2 linked regions of the Rattus norvegicus genome follow. The protein of the gene in region 2 interacts with the protein of the main gene of each other region in a pairwise test. Links are inferred from orthologs where the notes say so. Each region holds a gene or a part of one and is shown on either strand. Other genes may lie near its edges.

Evidence for each region.
Region 1: the proteins of Creb3l1 (region 2) and Fxyd3 interact in binary tests that used the Homo sapiens proteins (3 or more experiments, as listed by UniProt). The two-hybrid records come from large-scale screens. The link is inferred for Rattus norvegicus from reciprocal best matches to the Homo sapiens genes CREB3L1 and FXYD3.

Annotation. Positions count from the first base shown.
Region 1 is NC_086019.1:95,430,735-95,439,435, forward strand, and holds the end of Fxyd3 (FXYD domain-containing ion transport regulator 3 precursor), read right to left. Parts: intron 5,720-8,701; exon of another isoform or gene 5,576-5,719; 5' UTR 5,564-5,575; coding exon 5,524-5,563; intron 3,985-5,523; coding exon 3,952-3,984; intron 3,870-3,951; coding exon 3,846-3,869; intron 3,141-3,845; coding exon 3,066-3,140; intron 2,984-3,065; coding exon 2,947-2,983; intron 2,563-2,946; exon of another isoform or gene 2,530-2,562; coding exon 2,492-2,529; coding exon of another isoform or gene 2,466-2,491; exon of another isoform or gene 2,361-2,465; coding exon 2,341-2,360; 3' UTR 2,184-2,340; downstream 1-2,183. Other genes in the region: Lgi4 (leucine-rich repeat LGI family member 4 precursor), read left to right, coding at 500-814. UniProt on the Homo sapiens protein: Associates with and regulates the activity of the sodium/potassium-transporting ATPase (NKA) which transports Na(+) out of the cell and K(+) into the cell.
Region 2 is NC_086021.1:98,412,922-98,420,837, forward strand, and holds part of Creb3l1 (cyclic AMP-responsive element-binding protein 3-like protein 1), read right to left. Parts: intron 6,239-7,916; coding exon 6,160-6,238; intron 4,485-6,159; coding exon 4,327-4,484; intron 3,723-4,326; coding exon 3,573-3,722; intron 3,422-3,572; coding exon 3,363-3,421; intron 3,246-3,362; coding exon 3,177-3,245; intron 1-3,176.

The DNA.
Region 1 (8,701 bases), on a different chromosome or scaffold from region 2:
ATCGCCTTCAGGATTATCTTTTCCAAGTCCCCACCCCACACCCCACACCTCAACTATTCAAGGGGTCTCCAGGAGGGAGCAACGGAGATTAGAACGGGAATCGGGGATCAGGCTGGAGAAGGTGGAAGCTGGTCAGGGTATGACCAGAACAGTTGGGATAAACATATAACGTATGACAAGTAAGATTGGCAGACCATTGCTGGGCAGTCTGTGTGGCATGTGAGGCAGAGAGAAAAGTCTAGAACAATGCCCCTGTTCCGAGCAGACAAATGTTATCTGTAAGTTATGAAAGATGCTGGGCATAGTGTTGGTGTCACAGAGGCCCAGAGGCTGTCATCTCAGTACCAGGGAGGCTGAGGTAGAAAGCAGTCCGTGGCTAGCAAGACTCTCAAAAAGGGGGAGGGATTACGGGTAAATGGAGAACCTACAGGATCCTGTTAAATGACAGGCCAGTTAGCGTCTCATGACCCAGGGTCTAACTAGCTTCCAAATCCTGCAGGTCATGCGCTGGGACGGCTCCATGTTCCGTCTGCTGCAGCAACTTCCATCTCGAGGCTCCCATGTCTTCCAGCCACTACTAATTGCCAGCGACCAGTTGGCCATTCTGGGCAGCGACTTCGCCTTCAGCCAAGTCTTCCGCTTTGAGCCCGATAAAGGGATCCTGGAGCCACTACAGGAGCTGGGCCCACCGGCCTTGGTGGCCCCCCGAGCCTTTGGCCAAGTCACTGTAGCAGGAAGACGCTTTTTATTCGCAGCGTGCTTCAAGGGGCCCACGCAGATCTACCAGCACCATGAGTTGGATCTCAGTGCCTGAGGCTGGGAAAGACCCTGGAAGTGGCTATGGGACTGGCAAGGGCATTCTGGGACATCTGGGTAACCTCTCTGGGCTGGCCTCCTGGATGTCACAGACAGTCCTGGGTGATACAGACCACAAGCCAAGTGCATCAGCCTGAGTTAGGCTTAGTCCACTTTTCGGAGGATCTGTACCTAAGGGGCAAGTGGGAGGTCTCTTTACTCCCAACTATGTTTAGGGCCCCTCCAGTCTGAAGCCACATTTGGGCTGAGGACAGATGCTCCCATGCACAACATCTTGGGAGTTCCTCCTGGAACACAACTTGGAGCTGGGATACAGAAACTAAAAGGGCAATCTGCTGAGCTCCAAGAGGTTTGGACACCCCGCCCTCAACGTCCCCTTGGTCCTGCTGCATATAAAGAACCGAGAGAGAGCATTAGTTCCACTCAAACCCTATCTGGCCATTGGTTTCGTGGAGTATGCGTCTCTGTGACGTCACAGTTGCTGGGCAGTTTCTTGGCCTGGTACTCTGCTGCCTGTGCGCATGCCTGGTACTTTGCTGCCCGTGCGCATGTCTATTTCCGAAGACTGATTGCTTTTACACGTGTGCAGTAAAAGTGAAGCAGCGAAGATGAAGTCTAGAGGCGTCACAGAGAGCACTGGGTACCTTTTTCCAGAATGTGACAGGGGCAAGAACAGGGAGTGTATGAATTCAATAAATGCCCCGCGCACCCAACCTGCCCGCTCTGTGGTCTCAAGGCGGGAGCCTCTTGTTGAGTGGCAGGTGAAAACCCTGGATGGGATCTTGGGCAGGAATTTTGGTTTGAAAGGTTTTAGGCATTTTCTGTGATTGCACTTAGATTCTGGAGGCTCTGATGGATACTGAGGAGCCTCAAGAGAGCTGGGGGTCAGTGGAGGATCTCACAGTGTGGCCACTGCTGGACTATCGGCGGTGTTCTGAGAAATTACAGGTCTCACAGGTGAATGGAAGGGTCTCATGATAAAGTGGGGTCATCTCAACTGCAGGGGTGGGGACAGCTAAATATCGGGGTGGCCCCAATATGGTGTGATGACCCCACGGTGTAGTTTTTCGCAATGTCACCCAGTGTCCCTACACTGCGTGAGATTAGGGCTCTTTTTCACTCCCGCAAGTGTCCCTCGTTTGCCACTAGAACTTAAGTGGCACAGGAGGCTGCCCATGGAGGGAAAGGGCAAATCTCATGCCCACCATAAGGCCATGACGTGCAGGTCTAAGCATGATTCAGCCATCAGCTCCTGCTCATTAACCTGCCCCATCGAGGCCCCAAGGTCCACCCCAGCATCTGCTCACCTCCTCGCTGCCGGCAGCCACACTCCAAGCTCCACACAGAGTCTCTGGCTCGCCTGAGCATGACGTAAAATCATTTTATATTAACAACTGAACAAAGAACCTGCTACCATGAGATGAGGCTCGGGGAAGGCAGTGTCAGGAGAGGAGGAGCCCAGACATCTTGGAGTTCAAGCCCATCTCCAGAGACAGGACCTGCACTTTTTTAACTGATCCATCCTCAGCAGTTGTGAGCAGAGCCTGGTAGAGGGAATGGAGTCAGTTTGCAAGCATCTCCCCTTTCCTTCTCCCTGACTCAGGCACGCTCCCACTCCAGCTTCCACTAGTGACCATTACCCCCACGTGTCACCCCCAATCATCCTGTGTCATACCTGGTGTGATGAGGGGTGGCCCATCTCCTGGACGGTGGCTAAGGAAATAAACGGAATAATATGTAAATAAATCCTCTCCTATTTATCCTCTCTCTCAGGGGCTAAAGGAGTCTCGGGTTGCCCAGACAGTTTCTTGGTTGATTTCCCACTGTACGTTTATGCAAAGCTAAGTGTACCAGTAAGGACCACAGCTTTCTCGGGATGATTTGCCATGGATAAGCCCAGGAGACACCGGGGCAGAGCACCCAGGCCTGAGCACTTTGCACAAGGCTTAGCCTTATTTATTTATTTATTTATTTATTTATTTATTTATTTATTTATTTATTTATTTATTTATTTTGGAGCTGAGGACCTAACCCAGGGCCTTTCGCTTGCTAGGCAAGCGTTCTATCACTGAGCTAAATCCCCAACCCACAGCTTAGCCTTTTTTTGAGCATGCCCAGAACCCATCTCACCTGGGTTTCTGGCTGAACTTGCATTTGCACTTGCCACCTGTTGGAAAGAGGCGTGGTCAGGGGAAAGAACAGGAAACCCCTTCCCTGCTCACTCCCTCCCAGAGCTCCCAAGTACTCACTCATGAGAACTATAATGCCCAGGGCACAGAGAATCCCTGCACAGATGAGCCCGCCGACTCGGAGGCTGTGCCAATCTGAGAGGGAGACAAAGGGGACCTCAAAGGTAGCCCAATTCCTTCCCCTATCTCCCAACTCACTTGACAGCAGTAAAACAGAAAAGCAAAACCCAGCCCCACTGTGCAACTATTGCAGTTCATATCCAAGCGAACAAGATATCACGTGTCCACCCAGGGGCAGAGAAGCCATCTGAGGGAAAGGATCAGTATGGAGGATAGGAAGTCAAGAGGCTGGGTCTTTAGAACGAGTGGTCAGGCAAGGGCTCTCTGAGGAGATCCGCAGGAAGGCAGAGCTGGCCCTGAAGGCATGGAAGAAAATGGTGCAGGATGAAGGAGTAGTAGATGCTAAAATCCTGAGCTGAAACAGGCGTGAGGACCAATAGAGAAAGAGAGGGGACGGGCAAGGGGCAGCTCCTGATGGAAGCTGGAGGATTGGGGTATAGAATTCCCTTTCTTCTCTGGGAAGATTTTCATGTCTAGCTTTCTGGTGGTTGATCTGAAACTAACGTCTCCTGTGGACTGGACTCAGGTCGTGTCTGTGCCTGTCTTGTATTTCTCCTCAAAGCTGATAACTTTCACCTACCTGGGAGCTCAGTGCCGACTCAAACCCTCTCCTATCCTCACCCCTGGGTCACTGTGAACTGTCAGTCATCCTCCCGTGGGACCCTTGGCACAAATACTGTGCAAGACGGGAAAGAAGTGAAGAGAAGACTCCGTTCTTACCATAGTAGAAAGGGCTATCTTTATCTGCAAAGAGAAAAAACACATACATGAATCTAAGACAGTAGGGGACTTGGGAAAGTGGGGTGGAGGATGGGCTCTGGCTCACCTTCAGGGTCATTGGCATCCAAAGTAGGCAGGCCTGTGGGGACAAAAAGTAAAGGTTATGACTAAGGTGGCTTTAGCAGAGCCCTCAGCAGGATCCATGGAGGTTCATTGCCTGTGAGAAATGCTCTGTGGGGGAACAGCCCCACCTCACAGTGCACAGGATCTAACCTCTGGCTAGTCCTACCTGGACATGCACCTTCATGGAGATATGGGCTCCCACCCCTATCTCTGAAACACTGCACTGGAAACAGTGTTTCTAGCCTCCGGGCTGGGCCACGCCTCCCGCAGGAGAAGCCTTGCTTTTCAAGGCAGCAGATGGCTCCTGTTCCAGTGTCTGTTTCTTTCACAGGAGCGCTGCTCACAAAATGCCTTGCTGGCCCCACCACAGCTACGCCCCACAGGTATTGTGTCTTCTGACCTCTCCCCCTTTGAAATGACTCAGTCAGCCAGTTGAATGCAGGTCCACGTCCCTTTCCAAACAGAAGGCTACTTGGGCCCAAAAATGGTAAAGTAAAAAGTGGTCTAAATGGGTGGGGGGCTCTGGAGAGAGGTGACTCTGTGGTTAAGAGCAACGACTGCTCTTGCAGAGGACCCAGGTTCAGTTCCCAGCAACCACATGATGGTTCACAACCATCTGTAACTCCACTTCCAGGGGATCTGACGCCCCCTTCTGGCCTCCACAGTTACCAAGCACAGACTTGCAGGCAAAACAATCATACACATAAAGAATTTGAAAAGAAAAAAAGGTGGCTTGCTCCTAAGGAACCACACCCAAAGTTACCCTCTGGCAGCCACATGCATAAGCATGCACACACATGCAAAGCTGCACACACAAGAACACACACAGTCATACACACACGAAGAAGAGGTTAAGGAAGGAGAAAAGCATGGCAAGAGCAAGGAGGAAGAGCTCAATTCTGGCTGAAAGCTCATCTGGCTTCATTCCGGGTCTGAGTTCTGCTAAAGGGAGGAAAACAATGCTTAGTTATACTCAGGCACACATGCTTGGGGCCAGCTCCACCCAGGCCTCGGTGATCGCTGTTCAAACATTAACTCATTTAAGCCTCACAAAGCCCCTATGACTAGGTGACATTCTTCTCTGTGTTTCACAGATGGGGAAACAGAGGCACGAGGTACTCAGGTTACCTGTTATGTCACCGCTAGCCTCTCAGTTGCTTGTGGGACGGCAGCGTGGGGAGGCCATGACACATAGCACAACAGTACTACAGAGAGAGAGAGAGAGAGAGAGAGAGAGAGAGAGAGAGAGAGGAGAGATGAGAGATAGGAGACAGAACGAGAGACTGAGAGACTGAGAGAGTGAGAGAGCGAGAGAGAGAGAAAGCGAGAGAGCAAGAGAGTGAGAATTTGAGAGAGAGAGAGAGAGAGAGAGAGAGAGGAGAGAGAGAGCAAGAGAGTGAGAATTCAAACGAGAGAGCAAGGGGAGGGAGGGAGGGAGGGGGGAGGGAGAGAGAGAGAGAGAGAGAGAGAGAGAGAGAGAGAGAGAGAGAGAGAGCGCTTGTCTCTGCCCAGCTGAGAGGCCCTGGGAAAGGGCATTTTGGGGCCAGACACTCACCTGCTAGAAGGACCAACAGGCTCAGAGCAAACTCTTGCATGTCAGCGTTGACCTGAGGAGTCCAGAGAACAGGCCAACCTTAGCAGGGCACCCAGGATGTAAAGCTTTGTACTTCTGTCCCACCTGCTGCTTGCTCTCCGGGAGCACAGCCCAGGGTACACACAGGAAGGCTGGCGGTGAACCTGAAGCTCACTGGCTGGGAGATAAGAAGCCTCAAAGTCAAGTGGGGGTTGGGTGAGCACTCAGGCTCCATGAAGGAAGAGGTCCTGTGTGCCATGTTCCTGGCAGTGATATTAGGCTTACTGTGAATAGATTTTTCCCTGAAGAGAGGAGGTAGAACAGTGCTTTGCTATGTCCAGGCTAGCCTTGAATTTGCCATCCCCCTGCCTCAGCTGTCCAAGAGCTAGGATTATAGGTGGGCACCATCAAATCCTGCTTATTAGCCCCATCTTACAGATGGGAAAACTGAGGCTCTGAGACATGAAAGTTGATGTCCAGGATGACTTAGTCCAGAGAACAGGATTTAAACAATGCCTCTTTCCCAACTAGCTGTTCCTAACTCAGAAAGAACTGTGAAGGGCCTCGGGGTGTTTTGGGGAAGAGGGTGCCAGGAGCCAGGTGGCAAGAGGCCCGGGTTCTGGGAGTGGCTCCCACAGACAGCTTGGAGCCTGCCCGGCTCTGCCCACACACTGCAGGCTTCTAGCTGAGGCCTGAGCTGACTCCCTGGGCTGCTGGGTGCGGGTGCGTGTAACAGGGAAATAGTGTCAGGCTGATGGGATAGATACAGAGAGTCCTGGATGTGGCCTTATCTCCATCTTCTGTCCTACCCCTGGGTCTGTCCCTTGAGACCCCACTGAGCCCTCTCTGCAGTCCCACTGAGAGCTCTCTGCATGCCCCACTGAGCATTCTCTGAGTCCCAGCTCATGTCCAGTCTTTGCCCCCACACCACAGCCCTCACCCTGCTCAGCCTGTGCTCACTCCCCATCCCAGCCCTGCTGGCAGCAAACACTACAGGTTCCCCAGCGAGGCTCACTCCACATAGAGCCCCTTTCCATACAGCCTGAGCCGCGACCTGCTGTCTTTCCATCACCCTGGAGGGCTGTAGTAAAAGTCCTGCTGTCTGTGGACCTCCCGTGCTTGCCTCACTCAACTGTCCTGAGCTCATGGGCACATGCATGTGCCAGTTCGTGTACACACACACACACACACACACACACACACACACACACACTCTTAATCTCCTAGCCCTTGGAGAGCTGAGGCAGGGGGATGGCAAATTCAAGGTCAGCCTGGACATAGCAAAACACTGTTCTACCTCCTCTCTTCAAGGAAAAATCTGTTCACAGTAAGCCTACTATCACTGCCAGGAACATGGCACACAGGATCTGTTCCTTCATGGAGCCTGAGTGGCAAATCCTAACACTTGTCCCCACTGCCCATTTGCTGGACACTGTCCAGTGACTTTATAGTGACTCCTCTCTTTAATCCCCAGCAACCCCAAGGTCACCCTTCAGAACTAACCCTTTTCACTCATACCAAAGCACACACTTAGAAGGGAAAATGGAGCCACCAGCCACCTATGGTGCAGGGGAGTTCCACATGCTCACACAGACACCTCCATTTCCCTGGGGCAGATCCCAGAGGCTGAGAAATCCTTCAGCTTCTTCATTAATCTAAATCAGTGCAGGCTTAACTCAAGCTACTAGGGAAGCTGAGGCAGAAGAAATTCTACTTCAAAGTCAACCTGGGATACAGGCTAAGTGCAAGGCCAGACTGAACAATTTAGTGAGATATTGTCACAAAAGAAAAAGTTTAAAAAAAAAAAAAAGGAGATGCAGCTCAGTGGTAGAGCCCCTGCTTAGAATCCCCCAGTAAGGGGCTGGGGGCGTGGCTCAGTGGTAGAGCCCCTGCCTAGAATCCCCCAGTGAGGGACTAGCGATGGAGTCTTGCTTAGCCTGCTCTTCAGGCCCTGAACACACACACTCTCTCTCTCTCTCTCTCTCTCTCTCTCTCTCTCTCTCTCTCTCTCTCTCTGTCACACACACACACACACACATACACACACACACACACACACGAATGCACCCATGTGTGCACACCCTGGACCCATTAGTTTAAATTAGACATATTTCTTGTCATTGATTTGGGAACTATTTCTCAGATGTCTGGGGCCCCAGCAAGCTTTGGAGAACTCAAGTGGTGGTTAGGGGCACAGGCTATGGATTTCTGTGCTCTGAGGCTGGCTGCCTCCTGATTCTGTCACCCATGCATATAAAACACCAGCCTTGACAGAGGGCTCCTGCTGAGTGCCCCACCTGTGCAGCCATTTTTCTCAATCGGAGCCGACTCCCTCGTACTGTCCTTATCCCACACGGCCCTCACCTGGCAATTCATCCTAATGCTGCATGCTCTGTCAGCATGGCTGCTGGGTCTCACCTCTACACTTCTCCCTCCAGACTCCTCCAAGGCCTCCAAAGGACCACATTACCACAAAACCTTCCAAAATTTGGGAACCTGGACAAGGGCAGGGGAAGACAGATGGTTCATCTGCAGCCCTTCCTTCCTTCCTCTGCCGTCTGGACCCTGTCATCCCTAGGGCTGGGAGGGGGGCCGGAAACAGCCCTCTCTCCTCACTGTCCTACCCTGCTGGTGCTGTGCTCTGAAGAGAGCCTGCCTGCTTCTGAGTGAACCATAGTGGGAGGCAACGCAGAGGGAACCAGCCTTGCCTGGGACATTAAGCAGCCTCATGCACTTCCTGCCTGCGCTAGGCAGAGGGCAGTTGCTGTCTCCTGCCCTCTGTGTCCTCCCCTCCTCCAGGACGGTGGATGGTCATGTCTGCAGGGGTACGATGCATACACCCTTGTTATCTGAGTCCCCATCTCCTAACCAAGTCCCACTTTCCTAGAGCAGACATCTTCTCTCTCCTGGTGCTCATTTATTCTCCGTGTGCCCCAATAACTGGCCACCCAACACACCTCCATCTGTTTCCTCCCCCAGTGCATTTAAATTACTGTTCATGTACTCAATTACCCCTAGATACCGTCCCTACTCTCACCCCCTGAGAAACCCTCAATCATGATATTATGGTATAATCACTTCCTGTCCACCCCGGCACCCCCACTCTGTTCAGATGTCTCAGGTAAACCCAGACTTCTCAGACCTGTCCCCAGGGTTTCCT
Region 2 (7,916 bases):
TTGGGACCTGCCTCATGGTAGGAAGTTGGGTCATCCTGTAGAATCTTAGGGGTGCCTAACTCTTACTCCTGACTCTTCTCAGAAAATGCTGGATTTTTTTCCTATCCAGTACAGTCACAGAGACATTGACTCTCCTCTTTTGCACCCCACAGCACCCTGATTCCACAAGACACTTGGCGAGGTGTGGAGTGCAGTCAGTAAATGGGTCATTGTTTACGCTAATTTATAGCTGTTTTACCATTACCACAACACCTGTAACACGTTAGCTTTATTTGTGGGCTTCCATGGTAGTCTCAGTTGCTAACTGAAGGCAAGAACTAGGTACTACCCAGCACGGAATCCTTTGGGAACACACACTTGTTAACAGTTAATACTGCACTTCTCCACCCAGCTGTGTGTGTTATGCAGTTCCCGAAGTGGACAGCAGGTGGCGGAATAGTCTTAAAACAGATTTTTTTAAGGGTAGCGAGGTGAAGATTGAAGGCTCCGCCCCTACCCTGATTCCTGCCTGAGAAGCTGGGTCTGAGAACGGAAAGGAGAAAATATGGATGCCTGGATACATAGCGAGTTCAGGACTGAGCTACAATCAGAAAAACCCTGTTTCCAAAAAGTGGACGCTCGGGTTAGGCTAGGTGGTGCATACTTAGAAGAAGCCTTGCATTGGGCCAGGCCGTCAGAGGGGAAGGAGAATCAGGAGTCCAAGGATAGCTTCAGCCACATAATGAGTTTATGGTCAACCTGGCTACGTGAGAACAGTTTCGAGAGTAACAGGGGCAGTGAGATGGCTTAGCGCCTACAGGTACTTGTCAGCAAGCCTGCTAGCCCAAGTCCCATCCCTGGTACCTACAGGGTGGAAAGGGAGAACTGACTACTGTAATTTGCCATCTAGCCTGCACAGGAACATGGTGCGCGCGCGCGCACACACACACACACACACACACACACACACACACACACACGCTCAATAAATAAACTTAACTAAAAACTTACAAAAAATGCAAACAGACAAAAAGGGAGCCTAGCATAGTGGAAGGTGTTTGTGGTGTGTACAAGGTCCTAGGTTCAATCCTCAGCATGGCTAGGAGACAGTGTCTTGTGTTAGGATTCCACTAGATACTGTTGTTTGTGTTATTGTACTTACTCCTAGAAAACAGTGTGGCTTCATAGCTCAGGGCACTATCTAGAATCAACAGTATTATCAACGGGGCGAAATCAACAAGCAGGCGTTCTTTAATGCCACAGGCCGTGTTGGTTTGGGTTGTCTGTGTTGGTTTGGGTTGCTATGTCTTTTTTTTTTCTTCTTTTCTTCTTTTTTTTTTGGAGCTGGGGACCGAACCCAGGGCCTTGCGCTTGCTAGGCAAGCGCTCTACCATTGAGCTAAATCCCCAACCCCTGGGTTGCTATATCTTATAGAGCCTCACACCAGTCCTGTTAGCCAGTGCTGGTGTCACATCACCGTCACCAAGAATATTGAGGCTCAGAGAGCCTGGCCAGAAACAGTAGAGTCATAGACAATAGCAGACTGGACCCAGAACCCAGAGCCCAAATCTGTGGTTTGATGCTACAAGCCAGATCCCAGGCTGGTTTCCTGAAACTAATGTTTCTCAGACTCAACGCAATGGCGGCATCCAGGGCATTGTCAAAATGCAGTTTGGGAGCTGGATTGATGGCTTAGCAGGTACAGTGCTATTGACCCAGCATGAGGATCTGAATTTGGAACCCCAACACCCATGTAAAAAAGCCAGGCACGAACCGGGCAGGGTGGCACACGCCTTTAATGCCAGCACTCAGGATGCAGAGGTGGCTGGATCTCTGTGAGTTCGAGGCCACCCTGGTCTGAATTAGTAACTTCCAGGACTGCCACAGCTATATAATAGAAAGACCCTGTCTTAAAAAAAAAAAGAAGAAAAAGAAAAAAGAAAGAGAAAGGAAGGAAAGAAAGAAGGAAGGTAGGCAGGTAGGCTGCGTGTGGTTGCTCTAACTCTGGTGTGTTGGGGGAGGGGGCAGTGGACACGGGACACAGATCCAGCCTAGTCAGCCAACCGGTGAGTGTCAGATTCAGAGAAAGATCCTGTTTCAAATGATAAGGTGAAGAACATCCAGTGTCTTAACTCTGCTGTGTGCACGCACGCACGCACGCACGCACGCACGCACGTTCTGGCCCAGCAATCTTAGAAAAGTCCTGAAATTTCTGATTTCTCACGAGTTCTCAGGCCGTATGGGGAACTGGCTTTGAGTAGCAAAGGTTCTGGCTATCAGATTTAGTAGTGTGGGACCTGCTCTAGGGACATAACTAAAGCATTGATTGCAGTGGCTGACGAACGGCTCAAGGGTAAGGAGCACTGGCCACTCTTCCAGAGGATCTGGGTTCAGTTCCCAGCATCCATAGCTTATAACCATCTGGAGCTCTAGTTTCAGGGGATCCAACACCCTCTTGTGGCCTCCATGGGCATTGCATGCACATGGTGCACAGACACACACACACAGGCAAAACAGTCATGCACATAAAGCAACCAACCAACGCTGGCGGCAGCCAGGTGCAGGGACACACGCCTGAGCCCTACTACTTAGGAGGAAGAGGTAGAGAAATCAGGAGTCCTAGGCTTTCCTCAGCTACTTAGCAAGTCTGAAGCCAGCCTGGATTTTATGAGGGTCTCTCAAAACAAAATAAAATCTACAGGTTGCTGGTCCCCACCTCTGCAGTAAATGACTCAATAGACCTGGCTCTGGGTCTGAGAAGCACATCTTTCTCTCTCTTTCTCTTTGTTTGAGGCAGAGCCTATCTGTGCTGTCCTGCCTAACCTGGAGCTCCCTAGGTAGGTACCCCAGGCTGGCCTTGAACTTACTGCTTCGTTTGCCTCCCGAGTGCTAGAATGAAAGGCATGCACGATCGTGACTGGGAAGAGAGAACACACATTTCTCACAAGCTGGGAGGCAACGCGGAGGCTGAGGAGCACACCTGGAAAGTTTCTGCCCTGTAGTCTTCCTCGAGCATCTTACCGGCCTGTCAGGAGTCTAGAGTTATGTGCAGTCAGGGACACCCGGGAAGCCAGGGACTGGCAGGACATCTGAGCTCCCAGGTTGTGGGGTACACTTTGGGGTATCTCTTTTCTCTCCTGCCTCCCAGAGCCAGCTGCTGCCTTTAGCGGGCAGGTGGGACACAGGGTACCACTCACCTGTTGGCAGTCTCTAGGGTTTCCACCTTCTTCCACAGTTCATTGTTCTCTGATGTATATGTCTCCACCCTGGAAGGGCAAGCAGACGCAGGCTCAGGGAGTCCCCACAGGCTCATGTGTCCCACAGCCATCCCACTGCTGCAGCCAGGCCTCTGGCTGGGGTCCCGGCCTTAACATGACACTTACTTCTTCTCTAGACACTCCACATACTCCTTCTTTTTGCGGCGGCTCTCCTGGGCAGAGATCTGAGGAGGAAGTTCCAAAAGAGGGGTTACCATGGCCATGTATCCCCTTCCTAGGCATCCCCAATTTCAAAGCTGACATCACCAGAGGGCAGGGGCTCCCTTCAGTGGAAATGTCCCCATAGTCCTAGGGTAAGGATGGCTCCAGTCTTACCTTGTTCTTAATTTTCCTGCGCACTCTCTTCAGGGCCTTCTCCTCAGCCTTGGTGAGGGGGAGTTTGGTGGGGATGGGATAACCCTCGGCGATCAAAGTTCGCTTCTCCTCTTCTGTCAAGAGCAGTGGCCCTGATGTCCCCTGCAGTTTCTGAAGAAAGCAGACAATTCTGGGTTCAAACTCGAGCACTACTGTGTACTCTCTACATATTCAACTCTCTGACCCCGGTTTCCTCCTTGGAAAAGGGGAGGAATCTGAGTTAGGTCCAGTAACGTGTGTCAAGTGTTACAATGGTTTTGGGAGGACCCTTCATCTATCCTAACCTAGAATCAAGTCTCAAAGTTCATTTACCTAGGGTCCCCTAGACAGCACCCACCTCAGGTCCTTTCCCACAGTTCCAATTAGGAGGAACCATGACCTCCTCAGGGTTCAGAGTCTCCTCCATTTTGCTCCCCAGAAGTGCTCCTTGGATATAGCCTAGGTTACTCGCCAGGGCTCAGGAAGGTCAGATTCTCATCTTGGTTCCATACCAGTGTTTCATCTAGGCCCTATTGGACCTTGTCTCTTTCCTTTGATTTCTATTCATCTTGAGGCAGAATTGAAACACGCCCCTTACCTGTCAAACGGGCACCTCCCTGAATCTGGTGGGATAAGTATCAGACTTGGGGCTCCCTGACCCTCTTCACTGGTCAGGGAACTGGGTGAACCTACTCATTACCTCACCTCTGGGGTCAGCCCATCCCTAGGTGCTTACGTGAGGGGCAGTGAGGAGCGGAGAGGTGGAAATGGCCGTGGAGGAGCGGGCCATGGGCCGGACAGGGCTGGAGGGGGGAAGAGAGCGGGGACTCTGGGAGCCGTCACTGTCACTGCCATGGCTGCTGGGGGGTGTTGGAGGCATCTGTACGAGGTCCTCTGCAAAAAGTAGAGGACTGGGTTAGTAGGGCTGTACTCCATCTCTGCTCTAACATCATGAGAACGCCGAACACAGGCTGGACCAGCCCTGTCACTGCAGAAAATGTACCGAGAGGCCCTTGACCTGCGCTGGAATATCAGATGCCGTGTTAAAAAGACACCTGGCACCCACAAGGATGTTCACTGAGTGCTACCTCTGTGATGGGTTATATATGCTTGGCCCAGGGAGTGGCACTATTAGGAGCCATGGCCCTGTTGGAATGGGTGTGGCCTTGCTGGAGTAGGTGTGTCACTGTGAGCATAGGTTTAAGACCCTCTTCCTAGCTGCCTGAAAGTCAATCTCCTAGAGGTCTTCGGATGAAGATGTAGGCCTCTCAGCCCCCCCTGCACCATGCCTGCCTGGATGCTGCAATGCTCCTGCCTTGATGATAATGGACTGAACCTCTGATCCTGTAAGCCGGCCCCAATTAAATGTTGTTCTTATAAAAGTTGTGTTGGTTATGGTGTCTATTCACAGCAGTAAAACCCTGACTAAGACAGACTTATCTCTGCTGGGGCAGAGGAATTCCCCTGCCACCTTGGGGAGGAGCCTCTGGGCTGCAAGCTTCCCTACCCACAGGATTCAGGTTTCTAAAGTCCCAGTTCTGTAAGTCCAGAGGGGACTAAGGTCAAACCAGACCCATGGGGCTCAGGCTGACCAATGTCCTTCCATTTCCTTTCTCTGAGTCAACAGTATGGGTCCAGTCTCAGGGTAATAGGGTGAGTGGTAATGAGTGGATGTGTGGTGGAGTGACAGATTCATTGATGAATGGACAGGTGATAGATGGATAGAAAGATGGGTGGATGGATGGATGATGGATGGACAGTGGGTGAATGGGTAAGTGGGTGAATGGGTAAATAGTTGAGTAGGGGAGGGCTGGAGAGATGGCTCATGGTTTAGAGCACTGACTGCTCTCCCAGAGGTCCTGAGTTCAAATCCCAGCATCCACATGGTGGCTCACAACCATCTGTAATGAGATCTGGTGCCCTCTTCTGGTGTGTCTGAGGACAACTACAGTGTACTTATATAAATAAAAATTAATAAAAATAAAAAATAACAGTTGAGGCTGGGGATTTAGCTCAGTGGTAGAGCGCTTGCCTAGGAAGCGCAAGGCCCTGGGTTCGGTCCCCAGCTCTGAAAAAAAAGAACCAAAAAAAAAAAAAAAAGGGCTGGAGAGATGGCTCAGTGGTTAAGAGCACCCGACTGCTCTTCCAGAGGTCATGAGTTCAATTCCCAGCAACCACATGGTGGCTCACAACCATCTGTAAAGAGATCCGATGCCCTCTTCTGGTGTATCTGAAGACAGCTACAGTGTACTTATATATAATAAATAAATAAATCTTTAAAAAAAATAAATAAATAACAGTTGAGTAGGGGGTGGATGGATGGGTATATGGATGGAAGAAAAGACGTGTGGTGGCTATAAAGTGTGTTTTCCGCTGTGGAGTGGATGGAAGGAGGCCAGAAGAAATGGAAGAAGGAGAGGGGATGTGATAGACAAGGAGCGAGAGATTGAGAAGGTGAGAGCATTTGGGGGGAAGCCGGAGTTTTGAAGAACAGGGGTGGTCTAGATGGAGGGAGTAGGATGCCGTCTGTCTGTCCATGATCAGGAGTCTCTCTCATGTACACACTTACCTTGTGTCACTTTGAGAAACTGGCTCATTTCCGGGGGCTCTGCTTTGATCACTGGCAGCTGAGTCATTTCTCCTGGGGCCTGAGGAAGAGACAGATTCATCTTCTCAATCACCTGCCCCTGGGACAATCCCCATCAAGCGTTCACTCTCTTCCCTCCCTTAGGCTGGAGGTTTGCCCTGCATAGAGGAATGGCTGGCCTCAGGAGTTCTGGGATCAGTTCAGCAAGAACAGAGAGGCAAGTCCTCATCTTGGGAAAGCCATACAACAGCGAAGATCAGAGAGAATGGTGGCTGCACACTGTAGGTCTGAACTGAGTCTCAGGAAGGGAGAGTTCCTACGGTATCCAGGGCCGTGCCACCTTCCAGGTAGAGGCTGACCCTTCGCTGTGAAAGCCATGTAGGCCTTGGTATGTGGTTGCCATGAGCACAGGAGGTCATGTTAGTCCCACTGTAGCTGTTGGATGAATGGGATCAATAGTTCAGGAGGAATTAATTGGCCACAGCTCAAAGAAAGCTGCCGGAGCTGAAAGGTCATGTGGATCCTGGGTTACAAATGGGAGTGGAGCCCAGTCCAGGAAGCTTGCAGCAGTGAGAACCCTTGAGGGGCGTCAAGTTAGGCCTGGGTACAATCAGATGTACATTCTTTAAAAAGTATTTAAATTCCAAAGTGATGTTCTAGTTATGGCTTCAGGAACATGTGTGGTTTTGTACATGTGGATTTCACCAGCATGCATGTAAGTGGTGGTCTATGAGAAAGCATGGCTCTTGGGACTGTCTCTCCCCACTGGGTCTGCTGCCAGCAGAGGGGTCCAGGAACTTGGCCATTCCCTGGTCTTCACTCAGCTCAATGGCAGCACTATGGGACCTGAGGGGACCTGAGGGGAGTGTGGAGTGGTGGCAGCCCTTTGGGGGTTCAGGTAGTTACAGCCTGTCTTCTGTGTCCTACACTGGCAGAATGGGAGTCCTCCGCTCTAGGGTCTGACAGGCCAAGCTCAGCTGCATGATTTAGGGCTTAATCCCAGAATCCTGTTTCATTTTCTACTGCAGCCCCTTCTTCCTTCTGATTTTGGCCGCACTCGATCTAGAGTCTCTGGGGATCAAGCTGGTCATTAGTCCTTGACCTTGAGGACAGGGAAGGGTGGCCTTTCTTCCTTATGCCCACCTACTCTGAAGAGGTAACCTGGGTGGCCAGCAAACTCCCAGGCTAGAGATTAGTACTTATTTACTTTTATTTTTTAAATTCTATTTATTTAATGTATGAGTGCTCTGCTGCATATACATCTACTGGCCAGAAGAGGGCATCAGATCCCCTTATATAGATGGTTGTGAGCCACCCTGTGGTTGCTGGGATTTGAACTCAGGACCCCTGGAAGAGCAGCCAGTGCTCTTAGCCGCTGAGCCATCTCACGTTCCCTAGTGTTTATTTTTTTAAACTATAGGATTTTAGGCCGCGTGACTTGCACCTACTTGACAAAGAAGGAAGCTGAAGTAAAAAGAGATGGCAAAATGCCCAGAGCACAGTAAGGAAACAAACCTGGCCCAGCAAAGCCTCTCCCAGAAGCCAGTGATCTGAGCCTCGTTCCTGGAAGGGTCTTGGATTTGTAGCTGTTACCTATGCACTCCAGAAGTGGAGGCAGGGATTCTCACGAGCGTGGTTTATTAATCTAAATACAAACTAATTAAGATGCAACTCCTTTTTTCTTTCTTTTTTTTTTCTTTTTCTTTTTGCATTGACATGTTGACCTTTCTCTAAATCCT